Linked DNA regions of Saccharomyces cerevisiae S288C. The gene in region 2 interacts genetically with the main gene of each other region. Each region holds a gene or a part of one and is shown on either strand. Other genes may lie near its edges.

Evidence for each region. Genes that interact genetically often act in the same process or in processes that back each other up.
Region 1: mutations in SAW1 (region 2) and YLR152C together harm fitness more than expected from each alone (negative genetic interaction), as found in Saccharomyces cerevisiae (2 studies listed by BioGRID).

The regions. Positions count from the first base shown.
Region 1 is NC_001144.5:440,033-446,577, reverse strand, and holds YLR152C (uncharacterized protein), read left to right. Parts: upstream 1-1,889; coding exon 1,890-3,620; downstream 3,621-6,545. Other genes in the region: acetate--CoA ligase ACS2, read left to right, coding at 1-1,054; PCD1 (8-oxo-dGTP diphosphatase), read left to right, coding at 3,841-4,863; STM1 (Stm1p), read right to left, coding at 5,290-6,111.
Region 2 is NC_001133.9:87,857-95,972, forward strand, and holds SAW1 (DNA-binding protein SAW1), read left to right. Parts: upstream 1-6,830; coding exon 6,831-7,616; downstream 7,617-8,116. Other genes in the region: MYO4 (myosin 4), read right to left, coding at 1-4,414; FRT2 (Frt2p), read left to right, coding at 5,044-6,630; aminophospholipid-translocating P4-type ATPase DRS2, read right to left, coding at 7,774-8,116. UniProt on the Saccharomyces cerevisiae protein: Catalyzes 3'-non-homologous tail removal of RAD1/RAD10-dependent single-strand annealing recombination intermediates. Plays a key role in targeting RAD1/RAD10 complex to 3'-flap cleavage substrate in recombination.

The sequences.
Region 1 (6,545 bases), on a different chromosome or scaffold from region 2:
TCCATTAACCTTGGGTACCGCCTCAATAATTTTCGAATCCACTCCTGCCTACCCAGATTATGGTAGATATTGGAGAATTATCCAACGTCACAAGGCTACCCATTTCTATGTGGCTCCAACTGCTTTAAGATTAATCAAACGTGTAGGTGAAGCCGAAATTGCCAAATATGACACTTCCTCATTACGTGTCTTGGGTTCCGTCGGTGAACCAATCTCTCCAGACTTATGGGAATGGTATCATGAAAAAGTGGGTAACAAAAACTGTGTCATTTGTGACACTATGTGGCAAACAGAGTCTGGTTCTCATTTAATTGCTCCTTTGGCAGGTGCTGTCCCAACAAAACCTGGTTCTGCTACCGTGCCATTCTTTGGTATTAACGCTTGTATCATTGACCCTGTTACAGGTGTGGAATTAGAAGGTAATGATGTCGAAGGTGTCCTTGCCGTTAAATCACCATGGCCATCAATGGCTAGATCTGTTTGGAACCACCACGACCGTTACATGGATACTTACTTGAAACCTTATCCTGGTCACTATTTCACAGGTGATGGTGCTGGTAGAGATCATGATGGTTACTACTGGATCAGGGGTAGAGTTGACGACGTTGTAAATGTTTCCGGTCATAGATTATCCACATCAGAAATTGAAGCATCTATCTCAAATCACGAAAACGTCTCGGAAGCTGCTGTTGTCGGTATTCCAGATGAATTGACCGGTCAAACCGTCGTTGCATATGTTTCCCTAAAAGATGGTTATCTACAAAACAACGCTACTGAAGGTGATGCAGAACACATCACACCAGATAATTTACGTAGAGAATTGATCTTACAAGTTAGGGGTGAGATTGGTCCTTTCGCCTCACCAAAAACCATTATTCTAGTTAGAGATCTACCAAGAACAAGGTCAGGAAAGATTATGAGAAGAGTTCTAAGAAAGGTTGCTTCTAACGAAGCCGAACAGCTAGGTGACCTAACTACTTTGGCCAACCCAGAAGTTGTACCTGCCATCATTTCTGCTGTAGAGAACCAATTTTTCTCTCAAAAAAAGAAATAACTTAAATGAGAAAAATTTCGTAATGAGATAAAATTTCGCTCCTTTTCTGTTTTCTATTTTCTATTTTCCCAACTTTTGCTCTATTCAGTTATAAATTACTATTTATCCATCAGTTAAAAAACAAGATCTTTTACTGGTCAGCTAGGAAAGCGAAAATACAAAGACTTTATGCACTTAGTGATATATATGTATAGATATATCCATTTTTACGCACTTATCATATATCTTAGTTATCTAAATACAATCTAGTTATTCGTACACAATCGCCCCTGTTATCCCTATAGTGGGAATAAAGTAATGCACTGTGACGGGGTTCTTCGCCCGGGATAGGGTAAAAGGATATTGCCGTTTCAAGAAACTTCGGGGATAATCGAATAAGATACCGAGAAAGCTATTGTTCGTTGTGCACGTAGGATGTATATTGAACAAGCATGACCAGAATCTGATGCATTACGAGAAGGTTACGGGATGATATCAGACCTCCGAAGTCCATGTTGCAAAATGTGCCGACTTTCCGCGGCGCTATTTGGCACAAATTTCAGGAGAAACATCACTGTCGGTGTTATAGAATTCCATCTATATTGTTTTCCCCGTAGGCATACGTCGAGGAACTACTATATCTTTTTTCACCTTTTGTATATCTGTATTTTTGGGTCAATGTCTGGTACATAAGGTGAGTCATATTTACATCAAAGTGTGTAACGTATAAGAGGTAAAACAAGTTACAGTACTCATATAGTATTTCTTCTATCGGTAATTCTACATGTGTCTGATCAAGGTCTATCATTTTTATATGGTGGAAACGATTTTCTAGTACTACAATAAATGAACCAAGATGTCCCTTTCTCTGGGTGCCGCTATTTACATTGCATTAAAACCTATATTTAAAATTTACACCATTATGCTTGTTGGCTATTTGGTAGCTAAGTTCGATATTGTTTCCATGGAAAATGCGAAAGGTATATCAAATATGGTTGTTAACGCTATTTTGCCTTGTTTGACCTTCAACAAAATTGTGTCCAATATTTCATGGAGGGATATAAAGGAGATTGGAGTGATAATACTTTCAGCTTTTATCTTGTTTGTTTTAGGTGCCACGGGCGCCTTATTTACTACATTTGCTACGACTGTGCCCAAAAAATTCTTCTGGGGGCTCATATTTGCGGGTTTCTTTCCAAATATATCAGATTTACCTATTGCCTATATTCAGAGCATGGGTAACGGCTCCATTTTTACTGCTGAAGAAGCTGATAAAGGTGTTGCTTATTCCTGCATTTTTTTATTTATTCAAAGTTTCCTAATGATGAATTTTGGAATGTGGAGAGTGGTCGGACTTGATTTTAGAGATACAAAAGAACCAGATAGTGAGAATATTACTCCGTCAGTAAGTCCCGCTATCGACGATCGCAAACTTACTGAAATAACAAAGTTACCTAATATCACACGTCCTACAAATGCCTATCAATCGGAAGATGCGAGAAGTAATAGCGATTTGTCTTGTAACTCTATTACTACAAATGAAATGACACCGCAGGCATTCTACGAAGGTTTTACTGGCTACATCAAACCCTATAAAGAATCAAATGGTGCATCCCATAAATTTGAAAGTGACCTTCCGCATGCTGAAATATATAGGGTTTCCTCGACTTATTCAAGCCCAGGCGCATTGGAGTTCTCGCGAATAGATGGCAGTTCCCTCTCATATAGTCGTATATCAAAAAATAGCGATGGCAGAAGTTATAGAAGAAAAAGGAAAGCGGATATGAATGAGTTGATTTCCAAATACAGTGCCGCCGAAAAAATAAGGCAAGGTGAATTAGATTTATCAAGACCACTATCCTTGACTGAAGAAGTTGGAAGCAGGAACGCAAGTATTGGTAATGTGCACACTGGTTATACCGATGAAAGTTCCATCGAAGAAGAAAATTGCACTAATATGGCCACCGACGGGAGGGGTAGCCTCTCCTTCTTTATAGAGAGACACAATCTCAAATGGTTGCAGTACTTTATTATAAATTGCCTCAGGCCAGCATCTCTGGGGGCAATACTAGGAATAATATGTGCATTAATTCCCTGGGTTAAAGCATGCTTCGTAACGACATATGTTCACGTTCATAAGGCGCCTGATGGAGAACCTGTTCTGAATTTTTTAATGGATTTTACAGAGTATATTGGAAATGCATGTGTTCCATTGGGGCTTCTATTACTTGGCGGAACGTTGGCAAGATTAGAAATTAAGTCATTGCCACCTGGATTTATTAAATCCGCCTTATTGATGACATGCTTTCGATTAATTGTCATTCCTATTATTGGCGTCCTATGGGTAAATAAACTATATTCGATCGATTGGCTGGATACGGGCATAGGAAAATTTGACATGATATTAACGTGGTCCATGCCGAGTGCTACTGCTCAAGTATATTTCACAGCATTTTATACGCCAGCATGTGGTGATCACATTCAAATGAACTGTTTGTCCGTCTTATTTGTCATGCAGTATGCGATTCTTTTCATCACTGTGGCGTTTGTTGTTACATATACCTTAAAGGTCGATTTAAAAGTTTGATTATATCCCTAGGCGAATAGGTATATACAAGAGTAGCTTATTATCAACTTATATATTCTGTTTTTTCAAAAGTAGCGATGAATTCCAATCGCGTATTTATTCGTTGTATTTATTTTTTGGGGTAGGGTTGTGGGGGGGGATCCGCGTAAGTATATTTATAACAATTCAATAATAATATTGTAGATTTGAAGAGAATCACACATGTAACAGAAAAGCTGTAATGATATTAAGTCAGAGGAGGATGCTGAGTTCAAAGCAACTAATAGAGAACTTGATAAGATACAAATTTCATAAAACACCATATACTCGGAGCTCAATATGGCCTTTCAAAAGAAATTCGGCGGTAATAATACTATTATTCATTGGAATGAAAGGCGAACTACGAGTGCTTTTAACTAAACGTTCAAGAACATTGAGAAGCTTCTCAGGTGATGTTTCATTTCCTGGAGGTAAAGCTGATTATTTTCAAGAAACCTTTGAAAGCGTAGCCAGAAGAGAAGCTGAAGAGGAGATTGGGTTACCGCATGATCCTGAGGTCTTGCATAAGGAGTTCGGAATGAAATTAGACAATTTGGTCATGGATATGCCATGCTATTTATCAAGAACATTTTTAAGTGTTAAGCCAATGGTCTGTTTTCTTTACAAAGATAAATTAGAAAAACATGAGGATAAATACAAAGTTCCCTTAGATATCCGTAAGTTTTTTGGTAAGCTGAACCCTGGAGAAACATCTTCTTTGTTTTCTGTACCACTCAATGACTTAGTTATACATCTTCTTCCTGAAGCCGATGAGGATGTTAAGAGTTATCAAGCAGAATATTTTGAGCGGAAGGAGTATAAGCTTAATTGGGGTGGAATAAAATGGTTGATTATGCATTATCATTTTCACGTAGCAAATAATAACGAAATGCCATGGTTGCAAACCATAGAGGATTTATCAAGTTCAGACGAAGACGGTGTTGATGGAGGTATTTTCAGATTCAGGGATTTGTGGGGACTCACATGTAAAATATTATTCGACGTTTCATGTATAGCTAATGGACTAATGGACGAAAAGTTAAAAGGAGAACTAGGGCACGAAGATTTGATAGTTGGACTACATGACTATGGTAATCAGATGCAACCGAACGGAAGAAGTGAATGGGAGATAGGAATGATCAACGGCGACAGAAACTTAAAATATAGCGATGTGATACCTGAATACTACATGAAGCACCTGCTGGAGTGCCGCTCGCTTTGGTAAAAAAAACTGTGGTATAATGCGTTGCCTAACAATACTCTCAAGAGATAATCAAGATGAGAGAAAAAGAATCATACTGGATGTCCTTAATCGATAACAAAAAGTTTTTAATGAAGAATGACTAATGATGAAATTGTTATACAAATACAAACAAACTACACGCTTGCACATCTCAGAAGTGAAAAAAAAAAAAAGAAAATTGAAAAGTAAATTAAAAGTCATTTATTTTTTATTGCTTAAATAAAACAAAATGATATGTCATATTCTCGATTGGATGTCAACCCAATTTTATTCTTTGGTTTGCCAGCATGATCATCTTCACTTGCAAATTATATAGTAAATAACCAATTAAAATAATAATAGTAATAGAAACAGAAAGTAGAACACTGTTATTGGATTCTTTCAGTTGGAATTATTCATATATAAGGCTTAAGCCAAAGATGGCAAGTTAGAAACGTCAATGTTACGGTTCTTTTGAACGGTGTTAGCAGAGTTAGTAGCGTTAGCAGTGTTGTTACCCTTTCTAGCGCCTCTACCACCACGACGGTTGTTGAAGTTGTTTCTGCTGTTGTTGTTTCTGTCACCGAAGTTCTTTCTAGTGTTAGATTCAACAAAAGTGGCATCAAATTCCAAGTACTCCTTGGTCTTCAATTGCTTAGATTTGACGTTCTTGACCTTGGTTGCTGGAACGTAAGCTTCCTTTTCAGCAGTTTCAATTCTTTCAGCGTCTAATTCAACCTTCTTAGCTTCTGGGACCTTGTTGAACTGGTTGTTAGCTTGTTGGTTCAAGTAGTCTTGCAAAGACAATTGAGCGGTCTTTGGCTTACCAGCGTCTTCAGCTTCTGCAGCGTCTTCAGCAATTTCAGCAGCAGCATCGGCTTGAGCTTCCTTTTCAGCACTCAATTCCTTCTTGTCATCACCCCAACCTTGGTTAACCTTCTTCTTGGTGTCAGTCTTACCAGTTCTAGAGTGGCGGTCAGTGGCCCTTCTGGTGTTGGACTTCTTGGTGGTGGCAGAGTCAGTGACATCCTTTGATCTGTTGTTTCTTCTACCAGCGGTCTTGTCTCTGATAGCACCCTCGTTACCAGAAGGTCTTGGTCTGTTCTTTCTAGCCTTGGATGGGTCAGCGGATGGAGGTGGGACGTCAGCCTTCTTGGAGGAAGTGTTGCTCTTGACGATTTCCTTTGGTGGCAAAACGACAACGTCAGCGTCTTCGACGTCGTTACCTAACAAATCAAATGGGTTGGACATTGAGAATAAAATGTGTATGCTTTCTTGGTTTATTTCTACTTCACCTCTAAAAGAATACTGTGGGGGGAAGAGAAATTTGCAAAGAAATAACTTCTAATTTAAAACTACGAAGCAGAAAAAAAAATCTTCCACAATAAACCAAGTATACAACTAAAACAAGCGAAGGAAGGAAGAAGAACAAAGGGGATATCGACTCAAAATCAAATATTACAAGGAAAATACCATATAATTTCTCTACTCAGTTAGGGCTTCCTCTACGCAACGATGATATCAAAATTGAAAAAAAAATTTCTTTTTGCGTTGGTGCGAACTTTTGGGAACACTTTCCATTCCAATAATTTCACTTTCCTTTATCTTTCTAAACGGTGATGTTACCCGTCTAAATAACAACATGGTAGCGCCATATGTTATACGGCTACAACTTTGTGTCACGT
Region 2 (8,116 bases):
ATTTTCTGTCTAATTTTATAATTTTACTGACAGTAGCTAAGCCCTCTGTATTGCTGTTCTGTGTTATTGCACTAGTGTCATAACGCAGATGGTTTTTAGCAGAGTCAAATTGGGCAGAAAGCATAATTTCCATCTTCCCTGGCAAAGACAGATTTTCTCTTTTGATCACGTTAGCTAAATAATTCAAGATTTCGTTCGGTACTCCAGCTTCGCCCTTGTTAGCAGGCTTGTATTTCAACAGAATTGCTTGTATTTGGGCTGGATTCAAGGCATACCAGAAATCGAATAGTAACTTGAACTCGTTCAAGTTGCTTATCTTCAACTGTAATATCTTGACAGCCTGAATTATTTGAATCAAATTGGGACGAACGTCTTCAATTCTTGGTTCAAACCAGCTCACCAACCGCTCGATATTTCTATCCACTTCGTACCCATACTTCCAATTTAACGCGGGACATTTGGTTATTAGGTCATTAAATAGCATTACGTTCAGATACTTCAGGGTGTCGTTAAAAATTTTTGTATGCATTGAGTCAACAACTTGAAATTTACACAAGACAGCATCAAATTCATTTAAGAATGTGAATAATTTAGCGAACTTCTCATCACCAGAATTTTTAAATAGCTTCTCGTTTAAAACCATATCGAAGATCTCGATGTGGGCTGAAGCATGCTTCATGAATTTCACTAACCAAGTGGAATAAATCTTGTCGAATACTTTTAAAGTTTCATTCTCCAAATCATTCAAATATATCAGTGTTAACTTATCTTTTTCATCACCACCATTCGCTTCATATAATGTTTTTTGATTTGCAGCAAATGCGGGAAGTCTGGAAAGATTACTTAACCAAAAGATACCACCAAGCATTGTTTCGTCCTTTGGTAGACTCATAACAATGCTTTCTACAGTCAATAGGACTTTCGAGATGAATTTGCTACTTTGAATCAATAACCCATTTCTCACTAAGCTACTTACCACTGTAGTAATGACGTGTATAGGACCCAGAACATTGTCTCCATTCACCTCAGTAACATTTACTTTTTTCAAGTAACCTTCTGTGACTTCTAATGTGTAACAATTCAGGTCCATTAGTAATTCTAGAAGATCAGGATTTCCTGATTCTCTACGAATTACATTGACTAGCTTCGGTTTTACTTGTTGTCCTGCGATTCCCAAACCTTTCACTTTATCATTCTTATTAGCAGAATATGTGGTGGTGAAATCTTGTGCTATTACGTTTTCAATAAACGCTAGTTCTTGCTTCATTGATTTGACTTCATCACTTAATCTTGAAGGTTTGTTACCTTTTATAGCAGCCAAACTTTGCATATGTGACTGTATTAAAGAAGATTGCTTCTTTTTTCTCTCCTTCAAGGCATTCTTCTTGTTTAAAGTATTCATGATTTCAACTTGTAACGTCTTCAGCTTGGAAATCTTATCATTATAACCATTTACTATCGTTTCGTACTCTTGCCTTTGCTTAGATGGAATATTTGACAAATCTCCCTGCAACAACTGTGTTAATCTTGTATATGAGTCATTTAACATCTCTAGATTCAAAATGAAAGAGTTCTTAAATTCGATAGCTTCCTCCAGTAATCCAATCCCGTAACTAGCCCTAATATTCCGTTCTTCAACTTCTTTTTGCAGAACTATATACCTTCGTCTAGCTAACTGCATTCTCATGGCGCTTTGTACAAGAATGGAGCTCCTTTTCAATGTTCTGTAATCTGTTTTGTGACCATATGATCTGATGTAGCTTTGGATAATTACTGCCGCCATGAGCATGAATTTCCTGTTAACACTATCTAAAATCAATTTTCTTTTACAGGTACATTGTAGTTTTATTATTTGCCCAATGGCAGCTCTATAGTATTCCCGTTTCCATAATGCTCTAATGTTCGTTTGTAGTAATATGGCAGCTCTTGTCTTGAGCTCATGATCGACCCTTGTACGAACCAACAAACTTCTAATTTGGCTTTGGCACTTCTTTATTGATTCCATGGTCTGCAAATACTGAAGCCTATAGTATCTTGCCCTTATCTTTTTCTGTATTATGATGCATATTTCATTCATTTTATTAGTCCTTAGCTTTTCCAAAAATGCAAGCATTCCTGCTTTAAAGAAAATTTTGGTATTACCAATTTGGTATTTTGCTGAATCAGAGATAGTAGCATCTAGAATAGATTGACAGAAGTTGACGATTGCCTCTTTTGGGAGGTCTGGATTATAAAGAATTCCACTCCATAAGCTGTAGTCCGTCAGGAGGAAATATCTTTGAACGAATTCGTCAAAAGTCCATCTTGATGGAAAGCCTGCACATGAAATCCTGATTGTTTCCAGCACACCACAAGCTCTTAATTGCGATAAGACCATCAAATTATCGAACTCCCATGGCTTTTTTTCAGAATTTGGTTTTATGCAACGAATATAATGAACATTAGTAGAATTTATGATGGCCATCAATTCCCCGAGCGATTTTTTGAACATAGATCCCAGGGTTGGTTTCTTTTGACTTAATCTTGCTGGGATCATTATCTTTTTTTCAGTATTTTGCTCTTCAGGAGCATCGTCACTCCTAAGTTCTCTGTTGTCTAAAATTTGTTTGAAAATTGGATTTGTCGTTGCTTTGAAAACATCCAGATGACCTAGGGAAACGCTGTCTCTATTCTTTTCAATAAACCCTTCAACTTCATATTCTACATCAACAGCATAATGGCTTACTATAAACTTCGTTTGTCCGAATCTTGGCTTCGAAAAAACTTCATTTGAGGGCGGTTTATTAAAGGCAGAATATAGTTTTGAGGCCCATGATTCATCTGAGCCTGATGGTAATCTACTTTCTTCATCTAATAGAGAAAGTATTCCAAGTTTATTCTCAATCAAGTCTATGCAAGGTTGGTTGTCGCTGAACTCAATGAAAGACCACTCAATTTCCTCCTTTACATATTCTTCTTGCTCCAATTTGAAAACGTGCTGGTTGAACTCTTGTTGTAATTTTTCATTCGCATAGTTTATACAGAATTGTTCGAATGAGTTTTTCTCAAAATGCTCAAACCCGTAGATATCTAAAATACCAATAAAGGAAAAGACATGATCTTGTTGATCCAGCTCAGGATCGTATAATGTCTTGTTAATGTTGTCTACTAGCCAATCAAAAAGCGTGGAATAAATAAATTTCGCCACAGAGTCCCTAGCAATTAGCGCTTGATTGTAATTCAAATTAGTGACAATTTTTTCAGACCTTGTGACGATTTGTTTCTTGACAATCCATTTTGCAAAATTGAAGGGATCAATACCCAATAATTCACATGCGATTTGCAGGTTTTGCTCTTCCGATGATAGTGATGCGTCGTTTCTAGTCATTTTCATCTCGATATTACCTATATGTAGCAAGCCTGCAAGAATTTTGAAAATTCCAAGCTGAGTCTCGTGGTTTATACCTACTAATGACAGGGCATCAGTGGTTATCTTGTATTCTCGAGCTTCATCTATACCAGCTATGTTCGGCTGTCCACCTTGGTTAGTATAATGGTAGTCCTTGGGAGATGACAAATGCAGTTCTTGTTTTACCGGTTCTGGCAATCCTTCCAAAATTTGGTAAAAAATATGGTAATTTCTTTCTGTCTCTGGCTGATAAACTAACCTGGATTTTTCCAAGAGATAGGTTCTAATTTTGGACCCCCTGATGGTAGTATTCTCATCAAATAAAATTTGCAGATATTTGCCGAAACGAGAGGAATTATCATTTCTGGTAGTTTTGGCGTTACCAAAGGCTTCCATGATCGGGTTAGTAGCTAAAATTTGGCTCTCGATTTGAGACATTTCCACTTCCCCTTCACGATTGTTGCTTTCTTGGACTGAGGCAAAGTATCTCATAATGTATTTAGCAGAGACGGTCTTACCAGCACCGGATTCACCACTGACTACAACAGTCTGGTTAGCCTTTTCATGGACCATGAACCTGTACGCCTCCTCTGCTATGGCAAAAAGGTGCGGCTCCAGCTCATCTTTACGCTTACTAGAATAATTCTGTATCATCTCGCGAGAGTACAAATGGTCGACTTTATCAAAGGGATTAGCGGCAATAAGGACAATACCAGAGTAAGTATATATCTGTCCATTCATGTATCTTTTTTTTATGGCATGCAGCACTGCCGGTTCGTTCAGATATGATAGGGTGGTTAAGTCATCAGTAGACTCTAAAATAGGTGGGTTTCGTAGTACAGGTAGCGTGGGATGATCATCATCATTTTCGAAGCTATTTGTTTCAATGGATACAGTTTCTCCATCCTCCAATTTCAACTCTAAGTGGAACGTTCCTTCAAAGAAGTCATTCTTGGTGACTTCGCCGCCTATCCAGCCTTGTTCTTTGTGAGGGTACCAACACTTAGTTCCTACTTCAAATGACATGCGGGAGAACTGGTTATAGGATTTTTTTTGTTTTTTTGTGTTTTAGAATTAGATTGAATTATAAAAAGAAGAACAAAAGGGTATCGTATTGAAAATAAATTGTCTCGCCAAACTGGTAACAATGTTTTCAGCTAGAACAATAAGAAAAGAAGAGAAGGTAAAAAAAAAGGTGATAACTCCGTAGGAATTGAGGAATTGAGTATGCAGAATCAGAATAAAGGCTGACTTTCAAAAAAAGGTTGTATTACAATTGCAGGTTTTCGATAAAAGAGACCCTATTCTCATCTACTACTGCTAAACTTCGAGATATTTTCGAATTTTTCAGTCTTTTCTTTTTTTTTTTTCGCATTAGTTCAGAACCCTAAAGAATGGTAAACATTCTATGGATAACCCGGAGAGTGAGTTTCTTAAAGACCTAGTTTTATTTTAAGGGTTTTAACTCAATCTTGATGTTTTCATTGTGTACCCTAAAGAAAGTTTAAGAATAGCCCTAACTGTTACCTTTTGAAATAAAATAAGGGGAAGGTCAAAAAGCTATTGTTCTATTGTTATGAAACATTGTCTCAAAGAGTAAGAATAACACAAATTGATGGCAGTTTTTTACGTAGTCCAGTAGTTGTCCAGGTACAATGCAAAATGCTCAAATAAAGAGCTCTTCTAAAGGCAGCGGAATAGATGGTACAGATCGCAATAGCAAAGATGGTGTAGAAAAGAGACCCCTGGAAGATGTAAAGCAAATGATTGACGCTGGAACACCAGATGTTGGCCACAAATCTACTGTTGAAACTAAGCCAAACGTTGGATGGCAAGCCTCTCACAGTAATTTGGCTGCATTACACGAAAAAGAGCAGAAATATGAAATGGAGCACCATCATGCTCGTCATAAACTGCATCGTCAAGTTATTCCGGATTACACGTCTGCCTCGACCGCAATGTTCAGCGATTGTATGTTCAACGCAGCACCAGATAAAGTACGAAGTCTCAGTACGATGAAGTCTTCTGGACTCTCGCCAAAACACCCATTTAACGTAGTCGCCACCTTTAAAGGACCATTCCCGCAGCATAGTGTAGAATCAAAGCCTCTCGATGGTGGATACTCTGCCAAAGACCATTTTCCCTCATTTAAGATGTTGCAAGCCCAGCAGCACCCAGCCCATCGCCATTACAAAGACAACGACAAGTACGGTCTTAAATCACCTTCCCGGTCCTTCGTGAAGGACAAGAAAAGGTTGGTTCACCGGTTTTTGAAATCCATGGAGCCTTCTTCGTCTGGGCAATCTAAGGATTCGTCTGCACTGGCGCCGGCTTTCGATCCAATATTGCCCAATGTTATATCTAAGCCTTCCAAGCGACCCACACATCATTCGCATTCATCAGACGGGAGTTCTAGCACGCAGACAGATATATCGTTACAGAGCTTGCTTTACCATGATCTTGAAAGCTCACCAAAGAAACATGTTTCGCCCTCAAGACCGCCCTCTGTAGCTTCCGAATCCTCTCCTGCCGTTGCTAATCCCATTGGGCTTTCGCCAAAAGACGCCTGCAATGCATCGTTTTCGCAGTCGTCCTCATCTTCGTTGTCTTCTTCTTCATCGTCTTCATCATCGACGTCATTCTCACAGTCAGTGGCTGTTGATCCTCTTGAACCTCCTGGAAATATCACATATAGTAGTTCGAATCTTTCGCTAAATTCAGATGAATTAGACTACTATCAGCGTCATATCGGATTGCAGTTACAGCAGACAGAAGCTTTACTAAAGCACAGTTTGAAAGATGAGGTTCTGAAAGATGAAAATGACCTTGTTAAAAACATTGCAAATTTTGACAAGATCGTTAAAGAGCTAAGGGACTTAAGATCCAGGACCATTGGATGGAAAGAGCTTGTTGAAGAGGATTATTTAATGAATTTGAAACAGGATTTTGACAAGGAAAACCCCGAATCATTTGAGGCACGTTTGAGTGATACAATAAATACAAACGTGGCAAAATTACAAGATTTAGAGAAAAGAATGGCTTCTTGCAAAGACAGGTTGGCCTCTAGGAAGGAAGTAATGAGGAAAATGGAAAGTTTATTGTCTTTGGAGAATTCCTTAATGATATCCAAAAAAAATGTAACATTCGCATCTAAATACCGCAACGAGGCCCTTGATATTGTCTTTTTAATTATCATCATCGTCATATGCTATACCTTCAAGCATCTAGTATCGCATAAATAAAAAATAGTATTTGTATATCAAAAAATGATCCTGTGATTTTTTCATATGTAACGTATAAATGTAAAAATGTGCTTCTTCTGGTATTTTTAATCAAGTGGAAAGATGAGTGGAAAAAAGGGCAATGAAATAGAAAAGGACAGGCCTGAAAGGGAAGAATACAAGAAGATTGAGTATATTGGACTTCACAGTAACCGTGAAAAATGGCACCAAGTATAGCAACGGTAAAGATAGCCAGGGACATGGTTTTGCCATTACGTATATTTGTCAATAGAAAGCAGATCCTTCAAACCAATGATAAGACTAGCAATAAGTCGAATGCCACTATATTTGAAGCACCATTATTATCAAATAACTCCATAATCTGCTTAAAATCACCAAATACAAGAATATATTTATCGCAACAAGATAAGAAGAATCTTTGTGACGAGATCAAGGAGGACCTGTTATTGATTGTTTACGAACTAGCGTCCCCGGAAATCATCAGTTCCGTACTCAGCAAAATAAGAGTTGGTCATTCTACTGATTTCCAAATCAACGTTCTGCCCAAACTTTTTGCAGGTGCCGATACGGATAATGCGGTAACTTCTCACATCCAGTCTGTGACAAGGCTGGCTAAATTCAAATACAAGTTGCACTACAAACATAAGTGGGAGCTCGACATATTCATCAACAGCATTAAGAAGATCGCCAATTTAAGGCACTATTTGATGTTTCAAACATTAACATTAAACGGTTTCTCATTAAATGCAGGACCCAAAACGTTATTAGCTAGGAAAATAGAAAAACAGCCCCAGGTACCTAATTTGTTAATAGAAAATGGGGACGCTGATGCCCTGGATACACCGGTGGAAGAGGATATAAAACCTGTAATAGAATTTATGTACAAGCCTGTTATTAATTTAGGTGAAATTATTGATGTACATGTGTTGCATAGGCCTAGAAGACATAAGGTACGTACCCAGTCGAAGCAACCCCAGGAGGAATGAAAAACCGATAACAAAGTGATGGCTTAATATTATAACTTCTATATAACGGATATATTTTATGGTAAATGTACATATTTCAGTAATGGTAATAATGACTTTTCTTTTTATCTTATTTTTATTTTTGTATTTTTTGTCTTCTGCTCTTTGTTTCTGTGCCTCATATATCAAATGAAATATCATCTCTCGAAGAACTGAATCTATTTGAATTTTGATTACCATCAGCAAATGGATTTTCAATGAACGGTTCTGCACTTTCAAAGTCGTTACTTCCCAGTCCATTATTGTCATTAAAGGGGTTCGCCGAAGCATCTTGTAATTCACCGTACTTACCTCTCTTTTGAGTAGTATCATACATTCTGACAATTTTTTCTTGCCCACCCTCTTCAGCCTGTGAAAAGGCAAATCCTCTTTGTTTTTTCATTCTTTGCACTTGCCTCACCTTCCTGATGGCATTTTGAAATTGCTGAACGTGCGGCCTAGAGTCGCTGATATTGTATTTC